Linked DNA regions of Callithrix jacchus. The protein of the gene in region 3 purifies or fractionates together with the protein of the main gene of each other region. This does not show direct contact. Links are inferred from orthologs where the notes say so. Each region holds a gene or a part of one and is shown on either strand. Other genes may lie near its edges.

Region 1 (4,852 bases), on a different chromosome or scaffold from region 3:
TGACCAAAAAATTCAGTGCCAGCTTTTTTTTTGAAACAGGTTCTCACTCCATCACCCAGGCTGGAGTGCAGTGACACAATCATGGCTCACTGGAGCCTCAATGCCTCAGGCTCAAGTGATCCTCTTTCTTCCTAGATAGTTGGGATAACAGGTATGCATCACATCTGGCTAATTTTAAAATTTGTGTAGAGATGAGGTTGCCTCACTATGTTGCCAAGCAAGGTTGAGTTGTCAAACTCCTAGCCTTAAGCAATCCTCCTTCCTCAGCCTCCTAAAGTACTGTGATTACAAGGGTGAGCCACTGCGCCCAGCCCCAAACTTTCTGTGTTACCTGACCACCTTCTAGCTTTTTAGGGGTATTTAAAGAAGTTGATTTGCATAAAAGTACTAGGGGAAGTACTTGGTGCACAAAAAGTACAACCTCAAAGGGGCTGCTGTGAGGACTCCATAAGGACAGACCAGGAAGTACTGTTTAGAGAAGTACCATCTTGAGTCAGACCTTCCTGGGGTGTGATCCTACCCTGTCCCTTTCCTCCTGGGTGATGGTAAGCTCTCGAGGTACCCCAGGGATCCTCCTTTTCCCTCCAAGTCTCACCTGCCAGAGGTCCAGGCCCAGCACACCAAAGTTATCATAGGCATAGATATTGGGATCAGGGGAATACTCGGGATTGTCAATTTCTGGGTGGATCCAAGTGCCCTTGTAATCTGGGTTGTCGATCTGTCGGGGCTTCCACTCACCCTGCAGAAGGCATAAGGGAGAAAAGAACCAGAGGGTGAGTGAGGTTGGTGGACTCCCCACTGTGAGCTCCAGCCCTGCTCAGAACCCCAAACTCACCTTGTACTCAGGGTTCTGAATCACTGGGGGTTCCCACTCTCCATCCATCTCTTCATCCCAGTCCTCAGGCTTCTTGGCATCAGGGTCAGGAATATGCTCAGGCTTGTCCCAGTCCTGGGGTGTAGAAGAGGTCAGAGTTGGCCCAGCTGTCCTACACACGCTCCAGTGTGGAAAGCAGAGCCCCTCCCCAAACACCTACCTCAGGCTTGGAGTCTGTGGGATCATCGATCTTGGCCCGCTCATCCCAGTCTTCCGGTTTTGAAGCAGCAGGATCCTTTATCTTCTTGGGTGGCAGAAAGTCCCAATCGTCCTCCAAGGACCCCGACTCCACCTGGCTGTTGTCGATCTTCACCTCGTAGGTATTGTCCGGTCGCACAATCAGTGTGTACAGGTGTGTAAACTCATCATCCTGAAGAAGGAAGGAGGTGAGTGGGGCCCCCCGCAATCAGACCGACCTCTGAACTTCCCATGACAGCCATCATTTGCCACCACCACCCCCAGGCACACCTTGCAACGGATGTCCTTGTTGATCAGCACGTTCTTGCCCTTGTAGTTGAAGATGACATGAACCTTCTTGGTGCCAGGGCCACAGATGTCAGGACCTAGGTGGGAAACACATCCAGTTAAGAGTCAGAGACTACCCACCATTTCAAGGCCCTCTCCCCTCTTTACAAAAGGAAAACCTGGTTCTTAAACTTGGTCTGTCAAGGCTAAAAAGAGGGACTCAGACCTTGATGCTGTCCTGAATGAACTGTGGCTGGAGCCTCAAGTTTAAAGAAAAAAAATGAGCGTTCTAGAACTCAACATCCTCATTTGTAAGATTGGGAAGTAACTATATACAATCATACAAATTAAATTAACAGCCTAGATCTGGGATAAGGCAATAAATTGTTGCTAACTGTGACCTATTCTTTTAGCTCTCCTTCCAAAGAAAATCATGATTAGTAAATGCTTTCCATCCTCTCAAAAATCACTTTTCTGGGATGTAAGGAACTCAATGGGGTCTGAGTCTCCCTCCAACTAATGGGACAGAGATCAGCACCAGGAACCAGCCCCTCACCGAACATGATGTTGTATTCTGAGTCTCCGTGCATGTCCGTCTGGTCCAAACTACTAGGAAACAGCTTCACATAGCCGCCCCCACAGTCGATGTTCTGCTCATGTTTCACCGTGAACTGCACCACTAGTGTCTGCCCTTTGTTGCTAAAGGGCTCAAAACTGGCCGATAGAGCATAAAAGCGTGCATCCTGGCTTGTCTGCAAACCTGAAACGGAATAGCAGTGAGGTCACCGTTGGGCCCTGACCCCCGAGGACCCAAGACCTAGAGAATACAAACGACTCCCCTTTCCTCCACCTGCTCTCCTCCTAGGGGACTGTCCCAGCTGTGTGCAGACAAGGACTTCTGCCAGGAAGTCCTCCCGGATCAGAGCACCCACTCCTAGGCTCTTACCTTTATCTTTCTCCTGGTCACCGTAGAACTTGCCGGAACTGAGGGCAAATTTGCCAAAATCTGACTTGTGTTTGGATTCGATCCAGCGGGAAGTCCACCCATCTAAGTGGGAGGTTAGAGGGGGGAGGTCAACGCGGTTGTGCCGATTCCCCACCACCAAACATCTGCCGAGAATCAAAAACTGCTGGGGACAGGGAAGGAGATCCCCGACTCTCCCCACCCCAACCTCTAGTTTGACACCTCAGGTGCCTTAAGAGATCCTCAGGCGAACCCTAACTCCCGCTGCGGGAGGCCGCTGCGCCTCTGCGCTCCCCAGGGACGCAAAAGAGGAATAGCCCTCGGCTCTAGGCCCTGGAGGCCACCATGTTGGTCCCCAAAGCAGTAATTACGGGCAACAACGCAGATCCGGGATGGGGGCCAGCCGCGTCGGCGGGGCAGCCTCGAGGCGAAATCAGGCGTTACCTCCGTCCAGAAACTGCTCCTTGAAATAGATGGCGGGCTCGGCGGCAGCCAGGCCGAGGAGGCCGAGCAGCAGCGGCACGGATAGCAGCATGGCGGGCCGAGGGGGCGGCGGCGCGCTGGCCCTTTAAAACGACTTTGGGGCAGCGGCTCTGCAGTACGGACGGCCGCCGCCGCCCGCCTTGCACCTTTATACCCATCCGCCTCTCAAACCAACCTGACCAAGCCCTTGGGCCCGCCCTTGACACTTTATCATTGGTCTGCGCTCACGATTGTCTTTTTCCATTGGATCTTTATCGGTTCACCATGTTAGGCTGCGCCTCGGAACGCTGGGTTCCCAGATGGCCGATTTCTATTGGCCTCACCGCTGACCAATGAGAGTCGACCACGCGTTGTGGGGGACGCCCTCTGGTGGGGCGGGGGCCTCGAGCCCCTCAGGCCAGGTCATGTGACCAGATCTAAACCCAACCCCGCCCTCGCCCGCGTGCGTCTTTCCTCATCTGGGCGTTTAAAGCACTGGCGCGAGCGCAGGTGTTTCCACGCGGGACCGGAACCATGTCCCAACTTCTCTCCCTCTCATTCCCTCTACCTGGAGGGGCTGGGCAAGGCTTTTCTAGCCATTCGGGAACCAGTACCCTACAGCCGCTCCCCCATCTCCGCCCGGGATTGAACAGAGCTCAGGGGTTGTGGCCCTGGGGCTTCGCTGCACCCCAGTGCTACAGCCACGCGGGCCAATGGGAAAAATGCCAACTCTCTCCTCCTTCTGCCCCTAGTGCCCTGGCAGCCTATCGGACTGCTGCTGTGCGACCTGGGGCAAGTCACTTAACCTTTCTGAAGTGACAGACGCCCCTGAGCAGCCAGAGGGGACGACCCTCCCTGGTCAGATGCTACCCAGCCGAAAGGCTTTTAACGTTTTGAAAGCTGTCCTGGGACAAGAGGGAAGGAAGGCTTAAGGATGTGACTCCTGGGGTGGGGACAGGGTTATTACCCAGGTTGCAGCAGCCCCTTTACTCTCTTCTCAACCGGTAAATGAAGGGGGTCGATGTCTTGTGGTCTCCCACAAACGGCCTGGCTTTTGCAATTAAACGTCTATAGGCGAGAGGGCCGGGGGTTCCGTTTGGGGAGGGAAAAAAGACAGACGGTAGGGACGATAAGGTGCTAGGGAGATGGGCAGGACCCCCCCCCCCACCTCGACCTCGACTGAGTCTAGTGCCTTCTTCTGAAGCTAGAGAGACGTGACTGACACCAGCACCCTGCCCCCACGCTGCAGAAAGGAGGAAGGAGAGCTGGGGGTTTTCCAAAGTCTAGGCAAATAAGCCCTGGACCTGGGAACCCGGGAGTGGACTGTGGAAGGAGGGAATGAAGGGGATCCAGGAAAGAGGGCGGGGAGGGTTGCTTCCTAGCTAAAGATAGTCAGAAAAGGGAGGAAGGAACAAATTCTTTAAAAGGGAAAACAAAGTTGGAAGGGGGGGAATAATCTGGCAAGTGTTTTTGGTTAAAAAAAAAAGAAAAAGAGGCCGGGCGCGGTGGCTCAAGCGTGTAATCCCAGCACTTTGGGAGGCCGAGGCGGGTGGATCACGAGGTCAAGAGATCGAGACCACCCTGGTCAACATGGTGAAACCCCCGTCTCTACTAAAAATACAAAAAATTAGCTGGGCATGGTGACACGTGCCTGTAATCCCAGCTACTCAGGAGGCTGAGGCAGGAGAATTGCCTGAGCCCAGGAGGCGGAGGTTGCGTTGAGCTGAGATCGTGGTGGCTCAAAGTCTGTAAAGCCAGCACTTGGGGAGGCCAAGGAGGGCAGATCATCTGAGATCAGGAGTTCAAGACCAGCCTGACCAACATGGAAAAACCCCATCTCCACTAAAAATACAAAAATTAGACGGTCGTGGTGGCACACACCTGTAATCCCAGCTACTCAGGAGGCCAAGGCAGGAGAATCACTTGAACCCAGGAGGTGGAGGTTGCAGTGAGCGGAGATTGCACCATTGCACTCCAGCCTGGAGAACAAGAGCAAAATTCCGTCTCAGAAAAAGAAAGAAAGAAAGAAAAAGAAATGGTGGCCGGGTGTGGTGGTGGGTGCCTGTACTCCCAGTACTCAGGAGGCT
Region 2 (3,556 bases), about 45 Mb from region 3:
GGCTGAGACAGCAAATTGCTTGAACCTGGGAGGCAGAGGTTGCAGTGAACCAAGATCATACCGCTGCACTCCAGCCTGGGCAAACAAAAGGAGACTCTGTCTCAACCAAGAAAAAGAAAGATCAGAGTCTTCCACACTGGGAGAAGGCACATGGGAGGACCCATAGCTGCACTTAGTAGTGAGGAAGAGAGGGAGACACCAGGCCCATGTACCCTTGGCATACTAAGAAACTGGCATATGTGGGCAGCAGCCCTCTCTCTGGGTATGGCCAAAGGTGGAGGTGTTTTTGGGAAATGTTGAAAGGACAGGTGGGTAGCGGTTTGGATGGCAAATGGAACCTGGAGCATGCTGCAGGAGAGACTGCAGCAGAAGGAAGATCCCTGACAGGGTAACTCTGTGGTATACATTTTGGCTTTCAGAGTATAAAGGGGTAGAGGATGGGGAAAGACTTGGTGTAAAAGAAGGGAAGAAACAGAAATGGACAGATGAGAAAAGGAAGACGGCAGTACAGCAAGTGTTTCTTTGAATCCTTGCCAGGCCAGGCTTCATTTAGCTGCCCTGGTCTTATCCTGCATACTCCAGCCCCATTTATAGACCCGGGGAGTGGGGAGCAAAGAACAGAACCAGAGCATGATCTGAAAAGAGCACGAGCCTCCTCCCTGCTGGAGCCCCCACCCCAGAAAAAAGGTTGATGGATCGATGGTCCAGTTCTTTATTTAGAAACCTGATTGTTCAAGAACATGGTAGGTGCTTCACACCTTTTTCGCTGGGATTGTGCTGGAGGTGATGGGTAGCATTCTCCCACTTTCTCAGCAACAGAGGTGAAGGCTCCTCAACTCAGAAGGACAAATGGTGTGTGACAGGGTGGGCAGGGAAAAGGAGAAGGAAATCCCAAGGCAATTCAATAGAAGGGGGTAAAGCGACTCCCAACAGCACTAGGGGCAGGTGGGGGCCTGCTTGCTCAGTGCCTGCTCACTGCCCTGCCCTCCTTGCTCTCTCTACCCCACTCCACTCCAAAGATCCTACTGAATCTCCAGGTACGGAGCAGGGAATATCCTATCATTAGGGGACAATAACAGGAAAAGCCACAGAGGAGAGGAAGCGGATTGAGGGAAAGCCCAGGAGAGCAAACATCACAGGCCCGGTGAGGTCTCCAGGTGGCTGCCAGCAGGGGCAACAGCATTCACCCAGGGCCCCCACACCCACAGAGTCACCCGAGAGGTCCGCAGCTCAGCTCCACTCTGCTGTTTGGCCCTCAGGGGTACCAGGGTAGGGAGGTGGGGAGGAGGCAGGCCAGTCCAGGAAGACTCTGGATTCTGTGGAGGGTCAAGTGCAGTGTTGGTCTCAGAAGTCAAATTCATCCAGGTCCCCTGTGCCCTCCCCACCTTGAGAGCCCCACACCCGGCGGTAATTGCTCTCCAGCTCTTTCTGCCGCTGGCGTTCTTTCTGGGCTTCTTCGGCTCCCGGCACCTGGTGGGAGAGGGTAGAGGTGGGCTGGAGCTGCTGGCTGTTGAGCCCAGGGAAGTCCAGGGCCGGGTGGCTGGGGGAAGGCAGGGAGTGAGAACACTCATGTCCTGAGGGGCTCTCCCTGAGTGGCAGCGCTCGGAGCCACTGGAACCCTAGCCTCATCTTATAGATCAGGAAAAGAACAAAGCAACAGCGTGGCTGGGGCAGGCCTGTGCCTCCACTGCAGGCGGGCTGGGGACGCGAGGGCTGGAGGCCAGGCCTGGGGGTAGAAGCCTCTCACCAAGATATTGAAGAAGATCTCCTTGAGGTTTCTTGTGTCCTCATCAGTCAGCCAGCGTGCACCCTCTTCAGCCCCTTCCGCCCATGGGCGGACAATTTTGATCTCAATTTTCCCTGGAAAGGAGCAGTATGCAGTGAGAGGAGAAGATAGCTAGGAGCCTCAGGGCAGGCCCCCTGCCCCGCTGGTCCCAGCCCCTCCGCTTCCGGCAGCTCGCCCTTCCGACAGCGCTGGGTCCAGCCGCCCTCCAGGGCCCACCTGCAGCTGTGAGTCCCTCCCTCTCCAGCAGCTCCTTCACCAGCCCCTCGATTTGTTTCAGCTGTGGGTTTTCCCGTTTCATCTCGAGGACCGTCAGATCCTGATTAGGGCCTCCGAGACGGAGCTTGGTGACCCGGACCCGGACTCTGTGCTCAGGATCCTCCTCTTAGAGGGGGAGACACACAGGGAAACACAAAGCAGAGGCGTGACTCCAGGGTTGGGGTGTGGGGGTCGCCTCCCCCTAAAACATCAGTTGGCTTTGGCAGCTATTCCATCTCAACATGTATATGAGCCAGGGGTCAAAAAACTGTGTGCCTCCCCCATCCAATTCACCCAGTAGAGCTCCCTCCATCAATTGCAGTCTTCCATCTTCCCACCCTACTCAATAATTCTGCCCATCACCTATAGGAAAACAAATGTTTTCTGAAGCCAAAATTAGGCCACCTGCATCAATTAAGTTTCGTTTGAAGAAGCAGGTTGGAAAAGTGCGGTTTCTTCCTCCATATGTTGGGACTTAATGTTTATAGAGAGAATGGGATGGAAGGTTTGAAACTGAACATTCCATTTGGAATATCTGATGTCCACACCAATAGGACCCTATGAAATGGACACAAGGGGATGCAAGAAGAAGAAGTAATTTAAAGTCTATCCAGGCTATTGACTCATGTGCAGCTGGGCTCTCCTATTCATACCCTGATAGCTAGGACCTCACTCGGTGCAAAGTCCTAAATGTTGACAGGCTACATCCTTCACAGTTGTGTGGTTTTCAGCATATAGACTCACAAACATTCAGTTACTATCTACTGATCAGTCAGTGTGTGCCAGGCAGTGTGCTAGGCACTGGCTGTGCAGGAGCAAACCAGGAAACAAGCAGACATGCTCTAAAAGCTGCTTCCCAGAGGGATGAATAGGAGGTAAGCATGCCAAGGGATGACAGTGGTGCGAAGGAGGCGCAAGTGAGGACAGTGTTCCAGAAAGAGGGGAGAGAATGAACACCCTCAGAAGGCAAGGAACAGGGTCCCCTCAAAGAACAAGACCAGCTGAGGGATGAAAACAATGGACTGGGCTACTCCTTCTTGTCTGACTGCTCTCACCTGTAGGTTGGGGTGATGGGGGAGGCTTTTTGGGGACAACCCTCTTTTTCCTGTGCTTCTTCACCAGCTCTGGACTCTGCTTTTCCTCCAGTCTTTTGATGAGTTTGTTGAGAGTGGATGTCAGAGCCAGCATTGCCCGATCCCGCTCTGACTCCTTCTTCAGCCCATCTGGGTCCAGCTCCTTCTCTGTCTGGAATACCCAAGAGAAGATAAACACTCAAGGGTCTGGGGTATGGAGGTGGCCAGCAGGCCAGGCTCTGTAGGAGAGTCTGCTATTTTGTGACGCAGTTTTGTTCTTGTTGCCCAGGCTGGAGTGCAGTGGCACAATCTTGGCTCACTGCAACCTCCGCCTCCCGGGTTCAAGCGAGATGGGATTACAGGCCTCAGCCTCCTGAGGATCTGGGATTACAGGCCTGAGCCGGTGCACCCGGCCAGAGTCTGATATTTAAGTCTTGACCCT
Region 3 (4,073 bases):
TAGTTCAAATACCGATGTGCTGTTAAGTGTAAAATACATTTTGACAGCATAGTACAAAATTTTTAAAAGGATGTGAAACGTCTCATTAGTTTTTATATTGATTATATGTTGAAATAATACTATTTGGCATATGCTGGGCTAAATAAATTACATTATTAACAACATTTCATGTTTCCCTTTTTTTGTATGGCTTCTAAAAAATTTAAAATCATATGTGTGGCTCACATTAATTGTATTTCTTTTTTTAAAAAGATGGGGTTTCACCATGTCGGCCAGGATGGTCTCGATCTCTTGACCTCGTGATCTGCCCGCCTTGGCCTCCCAAAGTGCTGGGATTACAGGCTTGAGCCACCGCGCTCGGCCACATTAATTGTATTTCTGATACAGCTGCCTTAATATAAAATTAGTTGATAGACACTAAAACTTTAGAGTTTATGGAAATAAAAGTGAAGGAAGAACCAACAGTGTTTTAAGAGTTAAAATTTAAAGGATATGGCATAGAGAAAACAACAAATACAGACACAAAATATGAAGTTTTATTTAGCTATGGGTAAGTCCACTAGCACATTCTATTACTCATACCAAATGCTGCTGGGGAAACACTGACTTGAAACAACCTTAATGCTAGTTTTGCATTTTTAATAGTTTCAAGAAGGGATCAGTAAAAGAAAAAAAAAATAGGTAGGGAAACAGGCGAAGCATCTCACAGTAAGTGTTTGATGTCATAAGCAAGCTCTTTAAAGCCACTTAACATGATTTCATGTTTTACGGGTTTTGTGGTGGAAATCACACATCTACCTATGTAGGTGGTTCTTAATCTTTTTTTGTCACACAAAATCCTTGGCAAGCTGGTGAAGCCTACAGATGCCTTCTCAAAATAATTTTTTTTTAAATCACATATTACAAAATACACAGGAATAAAAAGGAAACCAATTCTGTTTAAACAGCCACAAAACTGTTTCAAACATTCTTGATTTTGTAATGTTTCACTATTATATTAACTATGAGCTAGGACTAAATTTAATAACTGCTGCAATTTTGAAGTAGTGATGAGCGTAATAATTCAATTTAAGTAAAAATGGTGTGTTCTGGAAACAAATTTACTCTTAAATTCTCTGTTGAGATGCCAATCTCAAAGCTTCATATAAAATTTAAATGTGATTTTAATTATGATTAGGTCAATATGCCAGAAATAGATATATTATAGTTGGCCTAAAGGTCTTTTTTTTGAATTTTCTCTCTGGGAAAAAATAGGAATGAACCATCTCATATTCATGGTCACATACCATATGCAATTACAACTAACAGGATGATACTTTGTCTACTCATTAATAACCAGAAGCTAGGGAATTATAAATATTTACCTTTGAAAATGATTTGTAGAAAGCTTTGTATTCATCTTCTTCTACTTCTTTTGATGGTCTCTGCCATATTGGTTTGATATCATTCATAAGTTCCCAGTCCCACACAGTTTTTTCAACCTGAAGTTATTATGGTATTTGATTAGTCTCTCTTAGCACTTATCAAGGTTTTCCTAGCAGTAACCATGGCTTCAGATTTCAAAAGAATATATACGGAACCAGAGGCCTGGTGTGGTGGCTCACACCTGCAATTCTAGCACTTTGGGAGGTCAGGGGGCTGCTTGGGCCCAGGAGTTCAAGACCAGTCCAGGAAACATAGCAAAACCTCCATCTCTACAAAAAAATTTTTAAAAATGTTGGTGTGTGCCTGTAGTCCTAGCTACTTGGGAGGCTGAGGCAAGAGGACTGCTTAAACCTAGGAGTTCAAGGTTGAAGGGAGCTATAATTGTGCCACTGCACTCCAGACTTTGTGGCAGAGACTCTGTCTCCAGATTAAAGAAAAAAAAGGCACCAAAAGATACCTGTTATCTAGTAAGGTTTCTGCCACCTCCATGAAAAGCAAAGTATTTTTCTCAATATTTAATTCAAAAAGACAATTGTTAACTGATGAAAAACCAAGTATGTTTTGTTATTTTTAATTAGCAAAAGTACTTCTTGAAAATAGTTGTCTTGAGATTAGAAGGAAATACATATTACATATTCCTATTTCGTGACTTAAAAAAATCCAACATTTTAGAAAAATATTTCTCAACCACCACAACCAATACTTCTTACTCTGCTACCTAAGCAAACCAGAGAACTATTTTTATAGTTAATCCCTACATCATAAAAGGACAAAAGAGGACTCAGAAAGCTTTTTAATATTTAAAAATTCCAAACATATAAGCCACCAATCCTAGGCAATATATAAAAGTCAGAAAACTCTTCATAAAAACGACCTGGGTTTGACATTTAAAACTTTCTACCAGACAATGTACTCAACATACAAACAAAGGCCTTATTTTAAAAGCTGGCTCCATGGACTTAGCACCTGGAGCAAGTAGAACCTTAAGAACTGAAGCTGACCTCAAAACAGCCAGCGCATACTTGGGTTTTCCTGGTTCTGCCCTACATGTTAAATAGTATCTTACGCAGAGAGATGAAGCAGACTTACCTTTTTAGTCTTTGGTTTCTTTTCTTCTTCTTCTTCCTCTACTGCAGCTTCATCATCAGATTCTTCTTTCTCTTCTTTTGCTGCCTCTTCTTCCTCCATGGGCTCCTCAACAGTTTCAGTCTGTTGAAATAAAAGGAGAATTATGGTTAAACTCATTTTTTTAACAATCCTGTCTACAGAATATGACATAACATTACAAAAAATAGGTCTTCGTAAGAAAACCCTGAGAGTATGTATCCTCAACTAATATACCACACTTTGCCTTCATTCTTTTTTTTTTTTTTTTTCCTGAGACAGAGTCTTGCTTTGTTGCCCAGGCTGGAATGCAGTGGGGCAATCTCAGCTCACTGCAACCTCTATCTCCCGGGTTTAAGTGTTCTCCTGCCTCAGCCTCCCAAGTAGCTGGGACTATAGGCATGTGCCACCACACCCAGCTAATTTTTTTGTAGTTTTAGTAGAGGTTTTGCCATGTTGGCCAGGCTGGTCTCAAACTCCTGACACCTCAGGTGATCCATGTGCCTTGGCCTTTCAAAGTGCTGAGATTACAGGCGTGAGCCACCGTGCCCAGCCTGCTTTCATTCTTTTAGTGTTAAATATTTAAATACGTGCCAAGGTAATACATATAAGTTTTTAATCAATATAGATTTACCTTGCTGCTCCATACATAAATAGGAAAGTTTATGAACTGTGAATATTTTTTCACGAGATTTTTAATTGTATCCAATTCAAGGTAATCAGATGCTTCTTCTTTTAAGACAAGGCTGAAAGAAAAATTCGAAGTTTAGTGACATCTAACATTTAGGATATGAGATTATAAATTCACCTAAATACCATGGTAATAGCCAGCAGTTCTGTGTAATCGAAGATGTCCTAATTATTCATGTTAACTCTCCATCACCAATAAGGGTTTGTGAGCTAAAATGTTAACACATATAGAGATTCAGTAAAGAGAAGAATCTCCTCTACATTACCCCAAGTGGAGAATAACCATAGAAAATGAAAATATTCCCAACCTTCTGAATAGATTGGTTTTTTCCATTTGTCAAGGTGATAAAGCGCTGAAAAATTCTGGAAAAAAATGGAATCATGCACTCTCATAGCTTTTACTGTTATTCTAGAAACCTAACGATTATTGTAGATAACTACTCCTAATTAATGAAAACATTTTCCTTAAAAAAGCTAGAAAATTAATCTGGATTATTTATATCTCCACTATCCAAAATGGTAGCCACTGGGCACATATGACTTATTTAAATAAAATATACAGTTCAGTTCCAGTCACATTGCTACATTCCAAGTACTCAACAGTCACATGTGGCTGGTGGTCGCCAAACTAGGAAGTGCACATATAGAACATTTCCACTATTACATAAATTTCTACCGGGCAGTGTAGGGATTACAAGCATGAGCCACTGTGCTCAGCCTAAAACCTACTCTTGAGCACAATAGGTAGCCCAAAGCTTGATATTTGTGTATCCAATTAAGTATGGGGAAATGGCCTATCTGTGGTTCCCTCCCTGTCTCAAAAGGCTCAGTAGTTTAGTGGTACCTGGTCAATA
Region 4 (4,073 bases), on a different chromosome or scaffold from region 3:
TTTCCCTCGTGTACCAGGGGCAATAGGGCAGTACCAGGCAGGGTGCCCATCCCTTGCATCCTGGGGAGTAGGGCACAGTAGGCACAAGGCAGAGGCACATACCAGGCAGTCAGAGTGCTTGGGGCCCGTGCAGCCGGCAGCACACTGCTCATGGCAGCAGTCAGTGGGCAGCGGGCCCTTGCAGCGGGCACAGCCACCGGCACAGACAGTGCGTGTCACTGTTGGGTAAAGGGAAGGATGAGGGCTGAATAGCACCCTGGACACTAGACCCTCATCAGCATCACCTTCTAGGGATACTACCTACCCCAGGGAAGACATCCCAAACCTGTTATCCCACCCCTCCCTTGTCACCTGTATGACACCTGTATTTCACCCTGCCCTGGCCCTCCCCTCCCTTGACTCCAGGCCTCCCTGAGACTCACGGCTCTGACAGTCCTCAGAACTCTCTCCCCAGCAGCGGGAGCCCTTACACGCCGGAGAGCAGGGGTGGCCTGAGGACAGAACCAGAGAGAGGCAGTGAGAGAGATGTCTAACAGCAAGAGGACAGGTTAATAACGGAGAGACACACAAACAGCAGCAGAGGCCACAAGGCCAACTGCACAGCAAGGGAGGGACCCCAACAGACAGAGAGGCCCCCAAACCAGAGGCACCACCTAGAGGCAGAGGGAGACAGGACAGGGAACCCCAGAGCCAGAGATGAAGAGGCACAGAGAGATGGCAGGAGGGACGGAGAGGGAGGAAATGAGTGGTGGAGGCAGCTGGGGCAGTGGCGGGCGGGCTCTGGGTTGTAAGTCAGGAGTCTGGGGCTGGGGTCAGGCTGTCCGAGAGAAGGAGTGGCAGGGGGAGCATGGCTTACAGGCCCGAGAGCGGTTGGTGTCTATCAGTGTGAGAGCCAGCTGGTTGTTCTTGTGGAAGATGTCCTTCCACAAAACCATGTCCTGGTAGCAGAGCTGGGGGTTCCGCTGGATCCAGACCCCTCCCTTCAAGATCTCTGTGGGGTGAGCAATGATCAGGGATCCTTTCCCCTTCGGTCACCTTCTGCCTCCCTTGGGGCCCTCATGCCTTCTAAGACAGGAGCAGGCCTTTTAAACCCCCTGATTTCCCAGGGAGGAGAGAAGAGATCTTCGGCATCTTCAAGCCCCACCAATACCACCTCCACCACATGAACAAAGCAAGACCAGGGAGAAGTGAGTTGTCCATGCTAGGTCCAGATGCCGACGTGGACCACAGCTTTCTCCTCCCCTCTCACCTCTACTCTGGGCATGCTGCTTGGCGGTTAACAGACTGTGGAATCTGAAACCCAGCCCCATCACTCACTCGCTATGTAACTTTTGTCCCTTATCTCATCTGTAGAATGAGAATCACTGATTCTTTCCTGACAGGACTGCAGCTTGACTGAAATGGGACCCTGCAGGCAAAGCACATGGCACCCAGACTCTGGGGACAGTCGGCTCCAGACCACCCAATAGTGACATGGGTTGTTCACTGTACGCTTCACTCAGCCAAGTCGGGGCAAAAACCCAGCCTGCATTCTATGATTGAATGATGTGTGCTGATGCAAGCTGCACCTTCCTAGGAAGACAGGGAATCTTTTCCCAATCTTCTGAGGGCATCTTCCTGGGCTCTGCCTGCATCTGCCTAGAGGGACACCATTTCTTTTTTTTTTTTCCCCCAAGATGGAGTTTCACTCTTGTTGCCCAGGCTGGAGTGCAATGGCATGATCTCAGCTCACCGCAACCAACCTCCACCTCCTGGGTTCAAGGGATTCTCTTGCCCCAGCCTCCCAAGTAGCTGGGATTATAGGCACGCGCCACCACACTAGGCAACTTTTGTATTTCTAGTAAAGACAGGGTTTCTCCATGTTGGTCAGGCTGGTCTCAAACTCCTGACCTAAGGTGATCCACCCACCTCACCTCCCAAAGTGTTGGGATTGCAGGCGTGAGCCACCGTGCCCAGCAGAGGGGACACCATTTCTAATCCACACAAAGCCTCCCCATGGTCAGCTGTGGCTCTGGTCAGCTCTGAATAACCAAGAGAAAGTTTCAATGATGGTGAAGGCCACCTGTGAGGCTTCGAAGCTGCAGCTCCCGCAGGCCTCCTGGGGAGGCCCCTGTGACAGGGGTGGTATTGTCCAGAGGGTCTCCGTTGTCTAGCACAGCCAGGGCATAGTTGTCCTCAAAGAGCTGGGTGCCTCGTACAATCCGCAGCCTCTGCAGCGGGACCTGTCTCACTTGGTTGTGGGCGATGAGCACGTAGCCCTGCACCTCCTGTATATCCTGGTAGGGAGCAGTAGGGTGGGGCTGAAGCAGGAACACTACTACCCCCCAAGGCCTCCCTGAGGTTCCCCAGTACTTAGGGATCTTGGGCAAGGCCCCCAGCCACGGAGCAGTCCTGTTCCCTCATATATAAAATGATAAAATGGAGATAAAGGTGATGTCCCGCCTTGTCTCACCAGATTCTTACATGATCAAGAAAGATAATGGTGGGGGGCACTTTGTAAACTCTGAGCAGGTGCCCCACCCTCTCTGCATCTTAGTTTCTTCCTCAGTGAAAGCAAAGGCCTGGATGGGATGGCGTCTACAATTTGACAAACCAAGCAGGTGACCCCACTCCAGGGTCCGTGGACATGACCCAGCAGGCTGGTTTCCACACTCTCTCTCCTGCTCATAACGTTTTCACAGACATTTCTCTTTCGAGCTTCACAATGGGTACCTATTGCTCCCAATAAACAGATAGGGACACTGAGACCCAGTGAAGCGAAGCGGGTGTAGGCCACATTCATAGGGCTTGTCAGTGGCAGAACTGGGCCTGTAATCCACCTTTCTCACCGGCCCTTTCTGCTCTGGATGGGAGCGGGACAGTGGCTGGGGCAGGTGGATGGGGGACATGATCATGCTGACAAGAGAGCACAAGCTATAGCAGAAACCCAGATGCATCCCATCCAGAGATGTCCTCGGCCAGCCACATTATAGAGAGTCAACTGATTCTGCAGTAAAACGAATGGGGGTTGGACGCTGGAAAGGACTTCCTGGTTGAGAAACAACAAGAGAGGAAATAAAGGGCAGGGCACCGTCTTCTGCCACCCACCTGTAAACAGAGGGCTCAGCCCAGCTGGAGGCAGGGCCTGGCTGGGTTGCCCATGGGCCTCACCTGCAGGAAGGAGAGGCTGGCATTGGCGGGCAGGTAGGTGAGTTCCAGGTTACCCTGCACCACCTGGCAGCCCTGGTAGAGGTGGCGGAGCATGTCCAGGTGGGTCTCAGGACTGGCAGGGAGCCGCAGCTTCATGTCCGTGCCGGTGCACACTGGCAGGAGGGAGCAGATGGGTCAGAGGACACTGGCCAGGGACCTTCTCAGATCTAGCCACCCCATCCAAACTCATTCCCAGGGTCATGCCACCTCAAACAGGGAGAAGGCCTGACTGAAGGACCCTTCCACCCACATCCCTTGAACCTGCAGGGTTAACAGCAGAAGAAAGCTTGTGTGTTTGGGAAGTAGAGGGATTTCAGGGGAGAGGCTCCTTCTGACTGGGCCCACCCTGTGCATCCAGAGGCTGCCCCAGCGTGCCAGCCCTGTGGAGCTTACCCGCCAGCACAGGGTGTTGGCTGGAAAAGAAAGACTCCCTTTGTCCCAAAGGCACAACTCAGAGCCAGGGGTAAAAATCCCCCAAGAGAGGCGATGATGAATCATGAATCTTCTGGATACCCCCTGCCCCTCTCCCAAGCAAACAAACTTGGGGCATTCTCCCTATGCCATTCCAGTACACCCACGTGCCAACCTCTTGGCAAGGGGTACACACCCCCCTAATGCCACCCAGAGAGTGGGGAAGGAGGGTCAGCTGGAGTTGTAGCTGGGGCATGGGGCAACCAGGGCCCTGGTCATTGCAGAGACCTCTGGGAGTCCCCTATGAAGAGAAAAGGAGCATCAGACTCCAGCTGTGGGCATCTGGACACAGGCTGCAGATACTGGGCCAGGGTGGCACAGATCCTGCACCAAGGTTTCCTGTGCTGGCACCCTCATCTGGCCACCTCCTCACAGCAAGACTCCAGAACCAGCTGGCAGAATCTGTGCCACGA

Evidence for each region.
Region 1: the proteins of HSP90B1 (region 3) and CALR fractionate together in Homo sapiens (co-fractionation; 4 studies listed by BioGRID, with this or other methods). This does not show direct contact. The link is inferred for Callithrix jacchus from reciprocal best matches to the Homo sapiens genes HSP90B1 and CALR.
Region 2: the proteins of HSP90B1 (region 3) and OS9 purify together in Homo sapiens (affinity purification with mass spectrometry; 6 studies listed by BioGRID and IntAct, with this or other methods). This does not show direct contact. The link is inferred for Callithrix jacchus from reciprocal best matches to the Homo sapiens genes HSP90B1 and OS9.
Region 4: the proteins of HSP90B1 (region 3) and ERBB2 purify together in Homo sapiens (affinity purification with western blotting; 3 studies listed by BioGRID and IntAct, with this or other methods). This does not show direct contact. The link is inferred for Callithrix jacchus from reciprocal best matches to the Homo sapiens genes HSP90B1 and ERBB2.

Annotation. Positions count from the first base shown.
Region 1 is NC_133523.1:11,760,176-11,765,027, reverse strand, and holds the start of CALR (calreticulin), read right to left. Parts: upstream 2,910-4,852; 5' UTR 2,839-2,909; coding exon 2,748-2,838; intron 2,388-2,747; coding exon 2,286-2,387; intron 2,100-2,285; coding exon 1,896-2,099; intron 1,438-1,895; coding exon 1,343-1,437; intron 1,245-1,342; coding exon 1,035-1,244; intron 950-1,034; coding exon 836-949; intron 740-835; coding exon 596-739; intron 1-595. UniProt on the Homo sapiens protein: Calcium-binding chaperone that promotes folding, oligomeric assembly and quality control in the endoplasmic reticulum (ER) via the calreticulin/calnexin cycle.
Region 2 is NC_133510.1:61,984,497-61,988,052, forward strand, and holds the end of OS9 (protein OS-9), read right to left. Parts: intron 3,287-3,556; coding exon 3,097-3,286; intron 2,168-3,096; coding exon 2,003-2,167; intron 1,861-2,002; coding exon 1,748-1,860; intron 1,471-1,747; coding exon 1,345-1,470; 3' UTR 699-1,344; downstream 1-698. UniProt on the Homo sapiens protein: Lectin component of the HRD1 complex, which functions in endoplasmic reticulum (ER) quality control and ER-associated degradation (ERAD).
Region 3 is NC_133510.1:106,884,186-106,888,258, reverse strand, and holds part of HSP90B1 (endoplasmin), read right to left. Parts: intron 3,276-4,073; coding exon 3,164-3,275; intron 2,635-3,163; coding exon 2,515-2,634; intron 1,482-2,514; coding exon 1,365-1,481; intron 1-1,364.
Region 4 is NC_133506.1:120,167,261-120,171,333, reverse strand, and holds part of ERBB2 (receptor tyrosine-protein kinase erbB-2), read right to left. Parts: intron 3,303-4,073; coding exon 3,151-3,302; exon of another isoform or gene 3,088-3,150; intron 2,277-3,087; coding exon 2,063-2,276; intron 992-2,062; coding exon 857-991; intron 492-856; coding exon 423-491; intron 219-422; coding exon 103-218; intron 1-102. UniProt on the Homo sapiens protein: Protein tyrosine kinase that is part of several cell surface receptor complexes, but that apparently needs a coreceptor for ligand binding. Essential component of a neuregulin-receptor complex, although neuregulins do not interact with it alone.